Linked DNA regions of Pelodiscus sinensis. The protein of the gene in region 1 interacts with the protein of each later gene in a pairwise test. Links are inferred from orthologs where the notes say so. Each region holds a gene or a part of one and is shown on either strand. Other genes may lie near its edges.

Region 1 (10,191 bases):
TGGAGAATAATCTTGCTTCCATGTTACTCTTCATCATTTGATGATGGCGGCTTCGAAAGGTATCAAGTCCCCTCTCAAACCATTTTCCTCCTTATTTACTACTAAGATTCTGTCATTTTATAAAGTCAAATCCTACTTCATGGGCCTCACATTCTATTCACATCTAAACCATTCCCCTGAAACTTGAGCACAGTATCCATATCTTGCAGGAAGGACGTACTGGATGCTAATAAGTTACTTATATTTGAATTCAAGTTTGGTAACTGTAAAGTGCTCCTGATGACTAACTATATAAAAAACAGGTAATATTAAATGGTCTTACATTGTAATTTGATCTTAATCAGTTTACTTTATCTTGCTATAAATAAAAAAAAATCCTAATCAGCAATGATTATTTAAAACATAAAACAAGGGTCAAGATAATGCAATATAAACATCATGGTTTCTTACCTCCTACAATCCCTGATTTCCCATGTTAGACAAATTTAGCAGCAGCAAAACCCAGAATAATTTTTCAAATTCAAAACACTCCTAAAACAGATTTAAGACCTTCACAAGCCTAGAAGCATCTGCTACTTCCAACTTCATACAGATCAGCAATATGTTGGGTTTAACAGCATGGGTCCAGTTAGCAACCTGAGAACTGTACTCTGATTGGATAATCCAGTATAGCATCTTCTCTACAGATTATCCTCAATCTCTTCTCTACAGATTACCCTCAATCTGACAGGAAGGGCACATTAAGATTTACAAGATGTTCACTGACAGTAGATGTCGTTTGAATCCTAAAGCATCAACAAAATGTTGCTCTTGAGAAATTGCACACAACAGAATGTGTCTTTACCACTCCACCATGCTTCCAAATGAGACTGACAGAGAGGGATATAGAAGTTGGGCATGCAGCACTTAGGCTTTGTCTACACTTAAAAGTTTAAAGCACAGATATAGCTGGCGTTCCAGCGCTGACCAGCCTGTGTTGCAGAAGGGAGAGGGGAGCAGGCCCAATCAAAGCAAGCCACAGGCTGGATTGGGCCTGTGGGCTCTGCCGGGCAGAGACAAGGAAGCAGCTCTGCATGCTGCAGGAAAGCACTGCCTGCAATGCACAGAGCCACACAGACCCCTTTTCACCCACCCTAGGAGCTGCAACATGTAGACATCCACATCCCTTCCCCCCCCCCCCCGCCGCGCCGCGCCCAGACCATGAACCCCCAGCCTGTTCCTGCATCCTTCCTCCAAGACCCCATACCCCTCACCCTGTTCCTGCAACCCTTCCCATCTAGACCCTGCAACCCTACCCCCAGCCCATTCCTGCACCCTCCCTCCTAGACCCTGCACCCACACCACCACTCCTTGGTAGCCTCCTCCTGCACACTGAATCCCTAATTTTTGGCCCCACCCAGAGCCTGGGGGTAGGTGGGCTTACAGAATCCACTAGCCCAGGAACGCCAGAAGAATTAATCCAGTCCTGGCACCTCCCCCACTCCTTCCCGTGGGCTGCGGCTAAGAGTGAAGGGAGTATATTTTTTCCTGCTTCCCAGATGGGCCAGGTCAATGAGGGTTGCCGGGTTTTTTTTGCTTTGTTTTGGTTTTTTTTTGGGGGGGGGGAGGGGGATTGCTTTTCTTTTTTTCTTGCTTCTCACTTGCGTGGATCAGTTCTCATGTCCCACCACCCTGTGTTAGCAGATTCTCATGAACACTTGTCCCAGAAAAACTTGTGTCTTTCAGGGCAAAGAGGGGGTGAGGTTAACGCCTCAATTTTTTTCAAGTGTAGACACAGCTTAATTCCCAAAGTAATTAAAATACTGCGTTTGAACACAGTTTACAAGGACCCTCCCCCTACACAGACTATGAACCCCCAAATGCCTGCAAACTCTCTCCATGTGTCCTCACTCCACATGCATCCCCACTGCCCCAGCAGGAGTAGGCATATTCCTCCTGCCTGCAAATTCCCCTCCCCCATGCACACATTTCTCCCAAGTTGTCATCACATATGAACTCCCTCTAACCACCTGCAAATTCCCCAAGAGCACAAGCGCAACTGCACCAATTGCAAACATCTCGCTGTTTGCATGCATGTCCCCATCACCATCTATAATTTTTCCATATATGTACCCACTTTCCCCTGCTTCCACCACCTGCCCCCAAATGTACACGGGCACATATCTCTAACCCTCACTACCTACAATCTCTCCTATATGTATGCAATTCCATCAGCACCTACCTTCTGCAAACTCCCTCAGTATGTATACGTGAACATCATCCCAATCACAATCATCTGCAATTTCCCCCAAATGTATGCAGGCTCATCCCTCCCAAGCCTCCACAACCTGCAATCTCCCCATAATCACACCTGCCGCAAATTCCTCCTCCCCATGTGCACATGCATGTTCCTCCCACTCTCCTACTGTCTACAAACTGCACCCATAGCATGGACATGTGCACCTCCCCCAACCTTCAAACTCCCTTGCTCCACCTAGGGCATGCATGGGTGCCTCCTACCACCCACAAACTCCTCAGCACCTCCCCTTACTGCCTGCCAATTTGCTCCCTTTAGTGTGTATCACCCCAAATGTCTGTCAACTCCCCCCTGTGAATGTGCAAGCATCCCCTGCCATCTACTAACCCGATCACCGGTGGGTACACGACTGTGTCCCCTTGCTATATACCACCCTCCCCCCATACAGAAGCATCCCCATGAGCTTCTTCCAACTCCCGCTCGCGCTCTCTCTCTCTCTCTCTGTGTCCTCCTAACCCCTGCCATCTGATATTCCTCCCCCTCCCCCAGTATATGCACAAGCATTCCCTCAGCCATTTGTGTATGATGTGCAGAGTGTTCCCCAAAAGGCCACCCAATAAAGATTCAGAGCCACCCAACTGATTAGTAGAGTGTCCACATCCAGCAGCATGTGTAGCTAATGGTGGTGCACATCTATAGAGCAACATTAATTCCACACACGAATGGGGAAAAAAACACTGGGAATACTGGATGTGCTCCTCCAAGAGCGTTCTGGAATCTCCAGGAATTAAATCTTTAATGAAACATTGTCATGTGATGAAATCTCCAGGAATACATCCAACCAAAACTGGCAAGCAGCAGGTGCATGTAAGAGCACCACCCCAACTGCATGTTCCTCCAGTATGCACAAGTGCTGGAACTAGGCAAGCTTTTACACCCCTTGGCTTGAAATGCTTTCCAATGTATATGTTTACAGTTTGGTTACTGGCTTTCAGCACACCCAATATATACATTGTTCCAGCACCCGTGCCCATGTCTGTGCAAATGGACCCTCTACCAACTGCCCCCTCAGGTATGCACAAGTGTCCCCCCCCCATGCCCATTTCCCCCATCTCACGTGCACAAACATTCCTCCACCCCTCTGACTGCTCCCAGGTATGTGCTAGGGTCTCCCCTTTCCGTCCCTCCCCAACTCCACCCTGTGTGCGTTAGAGTCTCTCCCCCCCCCACCATCACCTCATCCCCTGGGTGTGTGTCAGTGTAACACACCCATGGCAGTTACATAAACATTCCTCCATCCTACTCCCCACCAGTTCCCCCTCCCGTGTGTGCGCGAGTCCCCCCCCCGCCAGCTCCCCCTCCCGTGTGTGTGCGCGAGTCCCCCCCGCGCCAGCTCCCCCTCCCGTGTGTGTGCGAGTCCCCCCCCGCCAGCTCCCCCTCCCGTGTGTGCGCGAGTCCCCCCCGCCAGCTCCCCCTCCCGTGTGTGTGCGAGTCCCCCCCGCCAGCTCCCCCTCCCGTGTGTGCGCGAGTCCCCCCGCCAGCTCCCCCTCCCGTGTGTGCGCGAGTCCCCCCCGCCAGCTCCCCCTCCCGTGTGTGCGCGAGTCCCCCCCCCGCCAGCTCCCCCTCCCGTGTGTGCGCGAGTCCCCCCCCGCCAGCTCCCCCTCCCGTGTGTGCGCGAGTCCCCCCCCGCCAGCTCCCCCTCCCGTGTGTGCGCGAGTCCCCCCCCGCCAGCTCCCCCTCCCGTGTGTGTGCGAGTCCCCCCCCGCCAGCTCCCCCTCCCGTGTGTGCGAGTCCCCCCCGCCAACTCCCCCTCCGAGTGTGCCCGACCCCCGTCCTCCCGTGTATGCTCAAGTTCCCCCCCAATTCTCTCGCCCACCTGTGCGCAAGTCCCCCCCCCCCCCGGCCAAACGTCTCCTCCCGTGTGTATCGAAGTCACCCCCGCGAGTCCCCCCGCCCGTGTGTGCCGGGTCCCCCCTCCCTCTGCGTGCGCCCGCCAGCGCCGTTCTCCGCTCGCAGCCCCGCGGCTCCTAGCGCGGCGGGCGGCTCAGCGAGGCGAACGGCGCCAGGCAGAGGCCCCAACGCCTCAACTCGAGCAGCCCAGGGCCGGGCGCGGACTCAACTCACCCGCATGGCACCACCTGCTGCTGCTGCCGCCGTGGAGGGGGCGGGGGAGGCAGTCGACTCCCGAGCGAGCCCAGCAGCCCCGCCGCACTCAGTCCAGCCCTGCTCGGGCCCCGCAGGGTTAATCGCCCCGCCCCCTCACGGCACGGCGCTGCTCCCATTGGCCGGGCTGTTGCTAGGACACCTTCAACAAGCGCCTGTGCCCAGGGGCCAGAGAGCCGCAGCACCCACCTCCTCTTCCTCCGCCGCCTGGGGGCCCTTCGCGGCGCTCGGGCCGGGGCCGCTCGGGAACTTGCGCCGGGACACGCCTGCGAAGGGGGCTGGGCTGCGCGAGTGGCTCGTGGGCTTCTGCGCGCGGCCCGGCTGTCCCTGCAGCGGCTCGTCAGCAACCGGGAACCGCTGCTGCCTTGCGCCGCGTAGCCAAACGGGCGGATGCGGGAGGCAACGGCCGCTTCGCCAGGCTGGGGGAAGCGGGGGGGCTCAATGGGACTGGAGGGGGAGGTGCGGGTCTCCCTCCTCGGGCGGAAAGAAACGTTGCTTCGCCAGCCAGGGAGGGGGCGCTGTACCCCGCCTTTCGAACCCGGGTCTGCTCCCCCTAGTCCCTCCCCCCCACCCCCCAGAGAGACCTTAACTGCAACACTTACGGGTGCCAGGTAGAGTCAGAAATACCGGACACACTTGACATTACGGCACAATCTACCTTACATCTTATTTAGAAACTACCGGACATGGATATTTTCTCAATGGCTGTGTCTACACTGGCATGAATTTCCGGAACTGCTTAAAACAGAATAGTTTTCGTTATAAGTATTTCCGGAAAAGGAGCGTCTACATTGGCAGGCTGCTTTTCTGGAAAAGCCCTTTTTCCGGAAAAGCATCCGTGGCCAATGTAGACGCGCTTTTCCGGAAAAGAGCCCCGAGCGTCATTTTCGCGATCGGGGCTTTTTTCCAGAAAAGACTACTGGGCTGTCTACACTGGCCCTTTTCCGGAACAGTGTTCTGGAATAAGGACTTATGCCCGAGCGGGAGCAGAATAGTTTTTCCGGAATAGCGGCTGATTTTGTACAGTAGAGCATCGTTGCTTTTCCGGAAATTCAAGGGCCAGTGTAGACAGCTCGCAGCTTATTCTGGAAAAGCGGCTGATTTTCCAGAATAAGTGGCCCAGTGTAGACACAGCCAATTTGTTTCCTGAACAGAAAGCTCAAATACTGGATTGTCCAGTTAAAAATCAGACACCTGGCAACCCTGAGTGTGACTTCTAAAAGGCAGGTGAGAGCAGCCACAGCCTTTGCTGCAGGGAGTTTGTTTATAAAGAGGCAAAGGTGATTAAGATAACAAAAGGCTCATGAGATCTCAAAAGCACTGCCTGATACTCTAATCAAAAGAGAGCCCGCCCTTTGTTTCCTAAGGGGTAGTAGAGGCAGAGTTTGATAAGGGCTAGATCTACTTAATACTTAAGCTTTTTAGAAATAAAATAAAAACCCTTATTTTAAAAAATCAAGGCATAAAAAGAGTTGAGTGCTAATCAGTTTATTACACCCAATGTATGATTGATTACCAGCCTGCAGGTGGTGTATGCGTGATACCGTGCAAGGAACACCTAGCCCTAAATGATGGTGTACTAACTTTGCTAGTTTCCCAGGCTGATCAAAGGCACTGGCCCCTTGCCCCTACTGTCCAGGATATTTTGAGGGTCACATATCCTCTTATCCCCCTTCACACATCATCCCTGCTCATCAGTGCCAAATACAGTGGAACACTTATGTTCCATATCTTACATACTAGAAGATTTACCCAGCATTGTTTGGGTCCTTAAGTGAGTTTTGCTCTTCATTTAAATTGCTATTGGGAGTGGGCTGGGGGATGAAGGGTTCAGTATGCTGGCTGCCCTGGGGAGAGAGGACGATCCCAGCCCTCCGTCACCACAGCAACTTGCAGCCAAGTGAGAAGCATTTGTCCGTGGCCCCTGCAGCTGCAGCAGACAAAGTTGGAGGATGGATCCATGTCCACTGGCTGGGGGACAGACAAATAGAAACACAGACAAGCTCTATGAGATAGATAGATTAGATAGATATAGTACAGGGGTCGGCAACCTACAGCACGTGTGCCATTTATGGCTTGCAAGCCAATTTTCAGCAGCAGCACAGAGGAGGAAGCTCAGCCTCCCCCAGCCCAGCACAGCCACTGGCGAACACTCCCTTCTGCCTGCAGCAGGTTATGCTGCAGTGGGAGGAAGCAGGGCTGAGGCTCCTCAGTGGCCCCTCAGCCAGAACCAGAGGTGCTTCTGTTGTGGCCATGCGGTCCAGGGTCAATCCAGAATTGTATGGAAGCAGCGCCTCCGGCCTCTGGGGCCGGCCCCAAACCATGTGGCCACAGCAGCAGGGTCTCTGGAGCCAGCCCCAGACCATGTGGCCACAACAATAGGGCCTCTGGGGTTGGCCCTGCACCACATGGGCCCTGGCAGTGACAGCCGGGCCTTCCTTCGGAGTGGCCTGGGATAGTATGGCCACAGCCATTGCTGCACGGAGGTGCAAAGCCGGGTAAGGGGTCCCCTCATGCCCAGACCCCACCCACACTCACTCCCCTCAAAACGCTGTACCCCTGAGTTGTTCCGACTCCCTCCCTTGTTCCTGCACCCTCCCTCCTGGGCAGGCACTCCCACCCTGTTGCTGCTGCACCCACCGTTGCTGCTGCACCCTCCCTTGTTCCTGCTCCCTCCACCTGGCCAGACACCCTACTCCCAGCCTGCTTCTGTACCCTACCTCCCACTCAGACCTTGCAACCTCTCCACCTTCTGTACCCTACCTCCCAGATCCTGCACCCATCCCTATCCTACTTGCTGGTAGCCCTGTCTCATACACTGTACCTCTCATTTTTGTCTTTACCCCAGAGTCTAAGGGGGTCCCTAAAATCCACTAACTCCAGAACCACCGAAAAGTAAATCTGGTCTATGGGAAGCCCTGAATCTCAGTCCCCCTATCCCTTCCCTTCCCCTCGCCCCGTGAGGCTGGGGCACTAGCCAGTGAGGTGTCTCAGTTGGGGGCCACATCAGTGAGGGTTGGGGGGTTTTGAAGGAGGTTTTTTTTTGCTTCTCATTTGTGTGGTCCCCAACTGATTTTTCTGTGGGTCAGTAACCCCTGACCCAAAAATGGTTCCCCACTCCCGCCATAAATAAAGAAAACATAGAAACCTTTTGTGTTGGACATAATATTTTACTTTATTTAAAATGAAGTTTGATAAGCTTAATATGAGAAAGTTAAAATGCTTAATTGTTTCATAATTTCATTCTCCCTAGCTGCAACTGGTTCAGAAAATATAGTCACTGTACCCAGCCTCCCCCCCTCCCGGGCACACAGATCTGTGAATAAGCTAAATTTTGATACACCGCTTCTGAAAGGTTGCCAATCCCAGCACTAAAAGGTAAGATCTGTATCTTTCTTTATTAATGAAACTGCTACAAGTAGCACTATCAATGACTTAAAAAAGTATCACCAGCACTCGGACCGTACATAGAGGTGAATAAGTCAAATCTCAGCACTTCACCTCTGAAAGGTTGCTGACCCCTGATATAGTAGCTAGCTGTCCCTTTCGCCACCTTCCACCCTGCTGGCTCAATGGGGTTATAGCTGTCCCGGTCCCCATCTCTGGCCCCTTGTTGCCCCTGTCCGTGGTATAGCTCCCTCCTACTAGACACCTCTTGTTCCATTTTATGAGAAACAATCAAATTCCAGGCTCTTCCCATTGTTTTTTCACAAACGAATCCTTACCTTTTTCTTTAAGTTATGATAAGAGGAAGCTGCACACCAAAATTGGTGGTCCTAGCTCTTACCGTTTAGAAGGAGTTCTTGAACTAACAGCTTTTCTAAAATATATAGTAAAAAGAAGACACTGTTGTTAATACTATAGAAGAATATTAGACTTTTTCTCACCTGCAACATGTTATTGACTCATATGCAGGTTGTGATCCTGTCAATAACCTACCAATTCATTTCAGCAGTATTACCACCAACACAGTTATTCCTCATTCCTGCATTTAATTTTTCCTAAGTATTTTGCACTTGTCTTATTGAATTTCATCATGTGATTTCAGGCCAATTCTTCTAATCCTGTCTTCAAAAATCCTAGCACCTCCTCTCACTCTGAGGCTATGTCTACACTGTGCATTTTTTGCGGAACAGAGAATGCAAATTGAGTGCTCATTTGCATATCTTGTGCTCATTTGCATATCCTCTTCTGATCCTTTTTGCGGAAGAGGTTTTTGCAATAAAAAGCCCTGTGTAGACGGGGCCATTTGTCGGGGGGGAAAAAACCCTTTTGTGCACAAGCCCTTATTCCTCAAAAAATGAGGTATACAGGCTCTTGTGCAAAAGGGTTTCCCCCCCTCCCCCCCCCCCAAACAAATGGCCCTGTCTACACAGGGCTTTTTATCACAAAAACCTCTTCTGCAAAAAGGATCTGCAGAGAATATGCAAATGAGATCATGAGATATGCAAATGAGCACCCCATTTGCATTTCCTCTTCCGCAAAACAGGTACGGTGTAGACATAGCCTAAGTGTCATCTGCAAATTTTATGAAGATACTGTCCACTCTATTATCTATGCCATTAATGAAATATATTGAATAATGCTGGACCAGGGACAGATGCTTGCAGGAACCCATTATCTATCTGCACTCAGTACATCAGCAAACCATTAATATTTTTTGAGTGTGGTCTTTCAACCAGTTTTTTGTCCACTTTATAGTAATTTCATCTAGACCACATTTTTCAAGTTTACTTATGCAAATGTCGTGGAACTAAGTCAAACCTCACTACAATCAAAATATATCATATCTACATCTTCCATTAGGCCTGTAAATGAAGGAAGGAAAGGAAGGAAATTAGGTTGATTTGGCATGATTTGTTCTTGACTAATCTAGAATGACTATGCAATCAATACAATAGGAGAGAGTTCAAATCAAAGACACTTTTTCTATTCCCATGTACTATCATTCAATCCTATGTTACCAATATACTTGCAGGCTACATATGGTTCACAAGTTGTTCTTTGTCCACACCTGACCTAAATGTGATTGACCCAAAATTTTATCTTCTTTAACACTGTCCTAATCTAATGTAATACCAAATATATATTTTTTTAATTTACGCTTCTGTTTAAGTACAATAGTGATAGCTATCCTCTCGTCTCTTAAGAGTTATTTCAGCAATTTGGTTATAAAAACAAGCATTCCCAAATCAGATCATTGGTCCAGCTATTCTAGTATCCTGCTTGCAGCTGGGACCCTACTATGTCAGAAGAAGCTGTAATTTACCTAAAATGTATCTTACCAGCTGTGCAGTGCTGTACATAGCAGAGAAAGGCATTCCTTCCAGGCTTCATTTTATATCTTGTATCCTGAAGCACATTTTGGTTACCTTTGTTGTCATAGCTTGCAAAACTAAAATGCTGATAATTATAGAACTCAACCCACAGTATTTGAGAAGGACTTAATCTATCAAAGATATTTTGTAAGATAATTCTTTTGATATCTAAGAACTTTGAATTCTATACCATGTGCATTCAGTAATATCTCAGTTCTTAATTTTATTTATACTAAATTTGCTGATCTTTAATTTCATTTGAAGTCTCTTGTTCTCATACTTTTGAGCAGAGAACAAGAGGAACTAATCAGTAATATGGCCCTTATTTTAAATACTTCATTTATCTTCTCTTGAATTCTTTCCAGGTTGAATAATCCTCATTTTTATACTTTATTTTACATAAATCTTGTGATAGCCTCTAATAATCTTTGATATATTTTTCATGATTCTGCACTAGTTTTCTGAAGTTGAGAT
Region 2 (9,550 bases), on another chromosome or scaffold:
CCCTGCGCATCCTGGGCCTCCTGCACGGCCCCTGCGCATCCTGGGCCCCCTGCACGGCCCCTGCGCATCCTGGGCCCCCCCTGCACGGCCCCTGCGCATCCTGGGCCCCCCTGCACGGCCCCTGCGCACCCTGGGCCCCCTGCACGGCCCCTGCGCATCCTGGGCCCCCCCTGCACGGCCCCTGCGCATCCTGGGCCCCCCTGCACGGCCCCTGCGCATCCTGGGCCCCCCCTGCACGGCCCCTGCGCATCCTGGGCCCCCCCTGCACGGCCCCTGCGCATCCTGGGCCCCCCTGCACGGCCCCTGCGCACCCTGGGCCCCCTGCACGGCCCCTGCGCATCCTGGGCCCCCCCTGCACGGCCCCTGCGCATCCTGGGCCCCCTGCACGGCCCCTGCGCATCCTGGGCCCCCCTGCACGGCCCTGCACACCCTGGGCCCCCTGCACGGCCCTGCGCATCCTGGGCCCCCTGCACGGCCCCCTGCACACCCTGGGCCCCCCTGCACGGCCCCTGCGCATCCTGGGCCCCCTGCACGGCCCTGCACACCCTGGGCCCCCTGCACGGCCCCTGCGCATCCTGGGCCCCCTGCACGGCCCCTGCGCATCCTGGGCCCCCTGCACGGCCCCTGCGCATCCTGGGCCCCCCCTGCACGGCCCCTGCACATCCTGGGCCCCCTGCAACGGCCCCTGCGCATCCTGGGCCCCCCCCTGCACGGCCCCTGCGCATCCTGGGCCCCCTGCACGGCCCCTGCGCATCCTGGGCCCCCCCTGCACGGCCCCTGCGCATCCTGGGCCCCCTGCACGGCCCCTGCGCATCCTGGGCCTCCTGCACGGCCCCTGCGCATCCTGGGCCCCCTGCACGGCCCCTGCGCATCCTGGGCCCCCCTGCACGGCCCCTGCGCATCCTGGGCCTCCTGCACGGCCCCTGCGCATCCTGGGCCCCCCCTGCACGGCCCCTGCGCATCCTGGGCCCCCCCTGCACGGCCCCTGCACATCCTGGGCCCCCCCTGCACGGCCCCTGCGCATCCTGGGCCCCCTGCACGGCCCCTGCGCATCCTGGGCCCCCCCTGCACAGCCCCTGCGCATCCTGGGCCCCCTGCACGGCCCCTGCGCATCCTGGGCCCCCTGCACGGCCCCTGCGCATCCTGGGCCCCCTGCACGGCCCCTGCGCATCCTGGGCCCCCTGCACGGCCCCTGCGCATCCTGGGCCCCCCTGCACGGCCCCTGCGCATCCTGGGCCCCCCCCTGCACGGCCCCTGCGCATCCTGGGCCCCCTGCACGGCCCCTGCGCATCCTGGGCCCCCCCTGCACGGCCCCTGCGCATCCTGGGCCCCCTGCACGGCCCCTGCACATCCTGGGCCCCCCCTGCACGGCCCCTGCGCATCCTGGGCCCCCCTGCACGGCCCCTGCGCATCCTGGGCCCCCCCTGCACGGCCCCTGCGCATCCTGGGCCCCCCCCTGCACGGCCCCTGCGCATCCTGGGCCCCCCCTGCACGGCCCCTGCGCATCCTGGGCCCTCTGCATGGCCCCTGCACATCCTGGGCCCCCCCTGCACGGCCCCTGCGCATCCTGGGCCCCCTGCACGGCCCCTGCGCATCCTGGGCCCCCCCTGCACGGCCCCTGCGCATCCTGGGCCCCCCCTGCACGGCCCCTGCGCATCCTGGCCCCCTGCACGGCCCCTGCGCATCCTGGGCCCCCCCTGCACGGCCCCTGCGCATCCTGGGCCCCCTGCACGGCCCCTGCGCATCCTGGGCCCCCTGCACGGCCCCTGCACACCCTGGGCCCCCTGCACGGCCCCTGCGCATCCTGGGCCCCCCCTGCACGGCCCCTGCACATCCTGGGCCCCCCCTGCACGGCCCCTGCGCATCCTGGGCCCCCCCTGCACGGCCCCTGCACATCCTGGGCCCCCCCTGCACGGCCCCTGCGCATCCTGGGCCCCCTGCACGGCCCCCTGCGCATCCTGGGCCCCCCCTGCACGGCCCCTGCGCATCCTGAGCCCCCCTGCACGGCCCCTGCGCCCAGACCACCCTGGGGCCCCCCTGCACGGCCCCTGCACATCCTGGGCCCCCCCTGCACAGCCCCTGCGCATCCTGAGCCCCCCTGCACGGCCCCTGCGCATCCTGGGCCCCCTGCACGGCCCCTGCGCATCCTGGGCCCCCCCTGCACGGCCCCTGCGCATCCTGGGCCCCCCCTGCACGGCCCCTGCGCATCCTGGGCCCCCTGCACGGCCCCCTGCGCATCCTGGGCCCCCCTGCACGGCCCCTGCGCATCCTGGGCCCCCTGCACGGCCCCTGCGCATCCTGGGCCCCCCCTGCACGGCCCCTGCGCATCCTGGGCCCCCCCCTGCACGGCCCCTGCGCATCCTGGGCCCCCCCTGCACAGCCCCTGCGCATCCTGAGCCCCCCTGCACGGCCCCTGCGCATCCTGGGCCCCCTGCACGGCCCCTGCGCATCCTGAGCCCCCCTGCACGGCCCCTGTGCCCAGACCACCCTGGGCCCCCTGCACATCCTGGGCCCCCCCTGCACGGCCCCTGAGCATCCTGAGCCCCCCCTGCACGGCCCCTGCGCATCCTGGGCCCCCCCTGCACGGCCCCTGCACATCCTGGGCCCCCCCTGCACGGCCCCTGCACATCCTGGGCCCCCCCTGCATGGCCCCTGCACATCCTGGGCCCCCCTGCACGGCCCCTGTGCCCAGACCACCCTGGGCGCCCTGCACGGCCCCTGTGCCCAGACCACCCTGGGCCCCCTGCACATCCTGGGCCCCCCCCTGCACAGCCCCTGCGCATCCTGAGCCCCCTTGGTCAGCCAGTCCCCGGACAGGGATGGCTCCCAGACTCACTCACACCACAGGGAAGACGGATAGACACAGAGACAAGACAGTCCTCAGTCCGGACAAAACATAGAAATAATTACCTGACCAGAGTCCTGATGTTAGATCCCGGGATCCCTACCAGAACAGAGCGGGAACCAACAGGTTCGATGGCGTAGACTTCGCTGTGGCTGTGTACCTTTCCGTTCTGGCGGAGGACCGCTCCGGCCAAATGCCCAGGTGCCGGCTCCCACGGTCATCCTGCAAGACGGTCAGGGATCACACAGCCTCAGCGAAGACGGTTGCCATCTCGGTAGAACCTCCAAATTGTCAAAGTCAGACAGGACTCACAGATTTGGCAGACTGCTCTGTTTATTTCAGCAAAGCTCTGCTAAAATGCATTCAGAAAATGTGAGCACCATACAAGGTTCAAACCCCTTGATTTTATACAGTCAAAAGGCCAAGTTAACAAGATCAAAGGGTGACAAAACTTCACATTATTAGTGTGGTTAAGTATCTTCATTTCAATATCAAGCACACAGCAATCTCCTGGCTATATCTCCCTGATTATCTGGAATTGCTTTCTGTCTAACACCTAATGTTCCTTTTCCTGTTAAACTCAGGCCCAAATTGGCTAGCACCTTGATCTGCATACCTACAATCAACATTAACATACTTTTCTTCTTCCTCTTGAAAGACAAACAGAATTCCTTCAACTTATTCAATTATTACAGTACAATTCATCTTTCTCTTACAGTATAATTCTTTCTACTTTCACACACGCTTCAAATATGCCTTCTGGGCCGGCGTTGCTGAGGGTGCAGAGGGAGTTGGCTGATGTGGAGCCATTGGCCATTAGCTTTGAAAACTCGTGGCAATCAAGGGAATCCCTGGGAAACTGGAGAAAGGCCAATGCAGAGCCCATCTTTATAAGAGGGAAGGAAGAGAATCCAGGGAACTACAGACCAGTCAGTCTCACCTCAGTCCCTGGGGAAATCATGGAGCAAGTTCTCAAGTTCAGCAGAAAAGGATCTGGGGAGGAGAGTGGAGGAGACACTGGATGTGAGTCAACAGGGTCCCTTGTAGCCGAGAAGGCTAACGCACATTGGGCTGGGTTAGGAGCATTGCCAGCCAATCTAGAGAAGTGATGAGTCCCCTTGATTTGGCTCTGGGGAAGCCACAGCTGGCGTGTTGCAGTTCTGGGCCCCCCACTACAGGAAGGATGCGGGCACATTGGAGAGAGCCAGAGAAGGGCAACCAAACTGCTGAGGAGCTGGAGCACATGGGCTAGGCTACGTCTACACTGCAGGATTCTTATTCAAAGAAAGAGGAGCAAGTCTTGTGCAAAAAGCCCCGTGTTCTTACGATTTACGGTACTTTTTTTGCACAAGAACGCACTTGTAGTGTGGACGTGCCGCAAGTTTTTGTGCAAAAACTCACCAGTGTAGACACAGCCTTAGAGCTGAGGCTGAGGGATTTGGGCTTATTGAGTCTGCCAAAGAGAAGAGTGAGGGGGGATTTGAGAGCAGCCTCCAGCTACCTGAAGGGGGGTCCCACAGAGGCTGGCGAGGGGCTGTCCTCAGTGGGGGCAGATGACAACAAGGAGCAATGGGCTCAAGTTGCAACGGGGGAGGTCTAGGTGGCTATTAGGAGATATTGTCTAGGAAGGCGGTAAAGCACTGGAATGGGTTGATGAGGGACATGGTGGAATCTCCATCCCTAGAGGTTTTTAATGCCCGACTTGACAAAGCCCTGGCTGGGACAATTTAGTTGGGGTTGACTCTGCTTTGAGCAGGGTGTTGGACTAAATGACCTTCTAAGGTCTCTTCCAACCCTGTTCTTCTACCTTGTGTCCTTTTGCTTCCTTTATCAATGTTTTACACTTGCTAACTTCTAATATCTATCTGTTACTCTAAACTTCTCCTTACTCCCATTTGTTATATATGATTCTTCATAGCCACTTTCACTACCCCTTAAGTTAGGGGTGGGGTTTGGTTGGTTTTGAACCAGTGTGACTTTCTGTCTTGACTCAATTTTTGGACATCTAGTAAAATGCTCTTAAGATGTTCCCAATTTTTCCATGTAAACCCTTTCTCCCAGTGAACTGGGTTCAGGGTGTTTTTTCCGGCTGAGTGGAACTGGGCCTTACTTGGCACAGAGGCGATCTTCTCTGCTCTGGACTTTATTCTGTTTGCATCTAACAAACACGTCCGTTAATCTGACCGGCTCCACTCGACCTCGGCCAGTCAGAATGGGAACCAAAGGCCAGCGCCCCAGCTGCTACCAAGCGCCCCAGCTCCATCAGGAGCAACACCCTTTCTGGGCCGGGCCTTCCTGCCAAGGCGCAGGAACAAGGAACCCGGCTCCGCAGGGGCTGCGTGTGGATGTCAGGGACACAGCCCCCGCCTGGCACAAAGAGGTGCCGCCCCTCGACGCCTCTGCACCCCTTTACACCAGCTGGGACCTGGCCAGCTGCATGGAGCCCTGTGGGCTGGGGGCTGGGGGCTCCCTGCGCCTGGCCTGCTTGCCAATAAGGCCGAAGCCCTTTGCAGTGAGGGCGCCGAGGCCTGGGGCGATGGGCCCGGCGGGAGAAGGGCCGGGCACTAGGGACTGGGGCTGCCCCTCCAGCGCCCAAAGAACCGGGGAGCTGGCTGGTCTGAGAACACTGCAGGGCGACCCAGGGCCAAACCGCTCCGCCCGGGCCCCTGCCCCTGCCCCTGCCCCTGTCCCCGTGGGGCGCAGCTCTGGGCTCGAGGCAGCTGATCACGGGGCAGACCCCAGGGCCCTGCGCTGACGGACCCCGGACGGGAGGTGCTGGCGGAGCAGGGAGGGACCTGGCCGCCCTGCTCCCTGCCGAGGGAGCCCCGCCCGCTGGGACGGGGCAGGGGCCGGAGCCTCCCCAGGTGCGTCCCCGCCCCGCGCCCTCCCCGGTCCCCTCGGGCCAGGGGCGCCCGGAGCTCGCTGCGCCCCGGGGGAGGAGCCGCCCGGCGGGCGAAAGCGAAAGCGGCCGGCGGGGCGGAGCGAGTCCGGGCGCAGGAGCCGACGCAGGGCGGGCGCCGGGGGCCATGGAGCACCGGAGAGCGGCGGTGGAGGTACGGGGCGGGGGGCGCCGCGGCAGAGGGGTGCGCCGGGGGGAGGGGCCATGGGGCAGAGGAGGGGGGCGGGGCGGGCGAGGGGAGGTTCCATGGGGCAGAGGAGGGGGGTGCTGAGACAGAGGAGGGGGCGGGGCGGGCGAGGGGAGGTTCCATGGGGCAGAGGAGGGGGGCGGGGCGGGCGAGGGGAGGTTCCATGGGGCAGAGGAGGGGGGTGCTGAGGCAGAGGAGGGGGGCGGGGCGGGCGAGGGGAGGTTCCATGGGGCAGAGGAGGGGGGTGCTGAGGCAGAGGAGGGGGGCGGGGCGGGCGAGGGGAGGTTCCATGGGGCAGAGGAGGGGGGTGCTGAGGCAGAGGAGGGGGGCGGGCGAGGGGAGGTTCCATGGGGCAGAGGGGGGTGCTGGGGCAGGGCCATGGGGCAGAGGAAGGGTGTGCCGGGGCGGGGCCATGGGGCAGATGGGGGGCAGCGCCAGGAGGGTAGGGACGAGCCCTGGAGCAGGACTTGGCTGCCCCACTTGCCTAGGGCATCGCCCCCCCCCCCCGCCTCTGCCAGGCCTAGAGCCGCCTGGGGCGCTGAGAGCCCAGCCGGGCGCATGGGCCCCACTGGTGAGCGGGTGGCCTGAGCAGCCAGCACTGGGCCAGGGCTCAAGGACTTTGGCCTCCTCCCTCCCTCCCTTCCCCGCCGGCCCCCCGGTGCTGGGAGCATGGGGGGGCGCTCGGCCCTGCTGGAGCCTCACGTGCCCGCCCGCCACGTCTTTGGACGGTCCCTGCCTGGGCCAGTGTGGGGCGCCCGCAGAGCTCCGGCTCTCTGGGGGAGTCCCCGGCTGGAGGGCGCCTGCCCCCCAGAATGGACCCGCGGGGCCGAGCTAAGAGCCCTGTGGGTCTGGCCCCCGGCCGTCCCAGCCAGGGGTTTGCGCAAGGCCCACTGGTTCCTGGCATGTGACGGAGCCGTTGTCCGGCTGGTGCTTCCGGGGCCCTCGGACTCTGGCCTGCGCTGGCCTGGGCAGGGAGCCTGTGACCACGGGCCCAGCCGGCAGAGCCAGCAGGCGCCTTGCGGATCCGCGGGGGGAGTCGTGAGCCCAGGCTGGCAGCCCGAGGGAGGTTTCAGGCCCCCCCATCCTGCTGGCATCTGCTCTGTCCTGCGGCATCTTTCCCGCCACATACCAGGGCAGGTGAGAGGTGGGAAGGGCCCAGAAACAGCCACCTCCCTGGGCCAGGCGGGGGGGCGGATGAACCCAGGCCCAGCCCCGGGGCCCCCCTTGTGCTCAGCAGACGGGCTCCTGGGCAGAGCCCCTCCCAGGGCTGAGCGGGGCCCTGCAGTGTCCCCGGGAGGCCGGGGGGGCCGGCTGTGTAAGGTGGGCTCGCCTGGCAGCTGGAGAAGAGCGTGCGGCGGCTGCGGGAGAAGTTCTATGGGCAGGTGAGCGTGGAGCAGGCCGTGCTGCTGATGGGTCGGTACTGCAACGACCACGCCATGGTCTGCAAGGTCATCGTGCTCTGCAGGGAGCAGCTGGAGGGTGAGTGCGGGCGCAGCCCGTGGGCCGGGGCGGGGGGCGAGATGCTGGGGCAGGCTGGGCGGAGAGGCTGGGGGTAACCAGGGTCTCTCCTGCCCTAGACATGGACCCTGAGGAGCGCCGGGCCCTGCAGCAGGACCCTGTGATGAAGGTAGGTCTCCGTTCTCAGCGGTGGGGGCATGGGGCTGTGCTGGGGGGCCCCAGCCGTCACCGTCACCGCCAGGCACGGCTCTGGGGTCCCTGCTCACGGCGGGAGGGCGGGTGTCTGCGCCTTGGGGTGCTGGGCTGCGGCTGGGTCACCCGGGTCTCGCTGAGCCTCCCTCTCCAGCCTGGTTCCTCTCGCTTCCCCTAGAGCGTGGTGGAGAAACTGAAGCAAGAAGAGGAGCAGCAGAAACAGGTGAGCGCGTCTGCCTGGGTACGTGTGCGTGGTCTGTGTCTGTCCCTGGCTGGAGGAGGGCGCCTGGCATTGGGGGAGGGGGTGCCCGCCTGTCCTGGCACGAGGTCCCAGCCCTGAGTGTCGTTATTCGTACACGTCTGGTTATTTGCATTCTCCTTTTATTGCTGTCCCTCCCTGTGCAGAAATCCAGCCAGGACTGTGAGAACGACCAGGACATCAAGGTGAGGGGGCCAGGCCCAAGGAGCGGAGCCTTAGCTCCCTGTTCCTGGCAGATCTTGCCCTCCGCAGCTCCCACAATGGCGAATAGAGACCCCCGGCCGAGCTCAGGGCCCCGTCGGGCTCGGCCCCCCCCCCCAGGACCCCAGCCAACATCAGGGCCCCGTCGGGTCGGGCCCCCCCCAGACCCCGGCTGAGCTCAGGGCCCCGTCTGGCCGGGCCCCCCCCAGACCCCGGCCGAGCTCAGGGCCCCGTCTGGCCGGGCCCCCCCCAGACCCCGGCCGAGCTCAGGGCCCCGTCTGGCCGGGCCCCCCCCAGACCCCGGCCGAGCTCAGGGCCCCGTCTGGCCGGGCCCCCCCCCAGACCCCGGCCGAGCTCAGGGCCCCGTCTGGCCGGGCCCCCCCCCAGACCCCGGCCGAGCTCAGGGCCCCGTCTGGCCGGGCCCCCCCCCCAGACCCCGGCCGAGCTCAGGGCCCCGTCTGGCCGGGCCCCCCCCCCAGACCCCAGCTGAGCTCAGGGCCCCGTCTGGCCGGGCCCCCCCCCCAGACCCCGGCCGAGCTCAGGGCCCCGTCTGGCCGGGCCCCCCCCCAGACCCCGGCCGAGCTCAGGGCCCCGTCTGGCCGGGCCCCCCCCCCAGACCCCGGCCGAGCTCAGGGCCCCGTCTGGCCGGGCCCCCCCCCAGACCCCGGCCGAGCTCAGGGCCCCGTCTGGCCGGGCCCCCCCCCCCAGACCCCGGCCGAGCTCAGGGCCCCGTCTGGCCGGGCCCCCCCCCAGACCCCAGCTGAGCTCAGGGCCCCGTCTGGCCGGGCCCCCCCCCCCAGACCCCGGCCGAGCTCAGGGCCCCGTCTGGCCGGGGCCCCCCCCAGACCCCGGCCGAGCTCAGGGCCCCGTCTGGCCGGGCCCCCCCCAGACCCCGGCCGAGCTCAGGGCCCCGTCTGGCCGGGCCCCCCCCAGAGCCCGGCCGAGCTCAGGGCCCCGTCTGGCCGGGCCCCCCCCCCAGACCCCGGCCGAGCTCAGAGCCTCGTCTGGCCGGGCCCCCCCCCCCCAGACCCCAGCCGAGCTCAGAGCCTCGTCTGGCCGGGCCCCCCCCCCCAGACCCCAGCTGAGCTCAGAGCCTCGTCGGGCCGGGCCCCCCCCCCCCCGGCCGAGCTCAGGGCCCCGTCTGGCCGGGCCCCCCCCCCAGACCCCGGCCGAGCTCAGGGCCCCGTCTGGCCGGGCCCCCCCCCAGACCCCGGCCGAGCTCAGGGCCTGTCGGGCCGGGCCCCCCCCCCCGGACCCCGGCCGAGCTCAGGGCCCCGTCGGGCTCGGCCCCCCCCCCAGACCCCGGCCGAGCTCAGGGCCTCGTCGGGCCGGGCCCCCTAGACCCCGGTCGACCCGAGGGAGCCTGTCCCTGGCCAGCTCGGTGAAGCAGGTGGGGGGAGGGCCAGGAGTCAGTGAGGAGAACACAGACGACCTCCCCCCAGGCCATAGCCCGGCAGCTGCGGGTGCTGCCCCTGACCGAGCGGAACCTGCGCATGTTGGACCACGCCA

What was found.
Region 2: the proteins of SSX2IP (region 1) and SHFL interact in binary tests that used the Homo sapiens proteins (3 or more experiments, as listed by UniProt). The two-hybrid records come from large-scale screens. The link is inferred for Pelodiscus sinensis from reciprocal best matches to the Homo sapiens genes SSX2IP and SHFL.

What each region holds. Positions count from the first base shown.
Region 1 is NC_134719.1:29,849,696-29,859,886, forward strand, and holds the start of SSX2IP (afadin- and alpha-actinin-binding protein), read right to left. Parts: upstream 4,519-10,191; 5' UTR 4,361-4,518; intron 1-4,360. UniProt on the Homo sapiens protein: Belongs to an adhesion system, which plays a role in the organization of homotypic, interneuronal and heterotypic cell-cell adherens junctions (AJs).
Region 2 is NC_134729.1:14,962,127-14,971,676, forward strand, and holds the start of SHFL (shiftless antiviral inhibitor of ribosomal frameshifting protein), read left to right. Parts: upstream 1-5,562; 5' UTR 5,563-5,871; coding exon 5,872-5,898; intron 5,899-7,268; coding exon 7,269-7,410; intron 7,411-7,508; coding exon 7,509-7,558; intron 7,559-7,759; coding exon 7,760-7,804; intron 7,805-7,986; coding exon 7,987-8,025; intron 8,026-9,483; coding exon 9,484-9,550.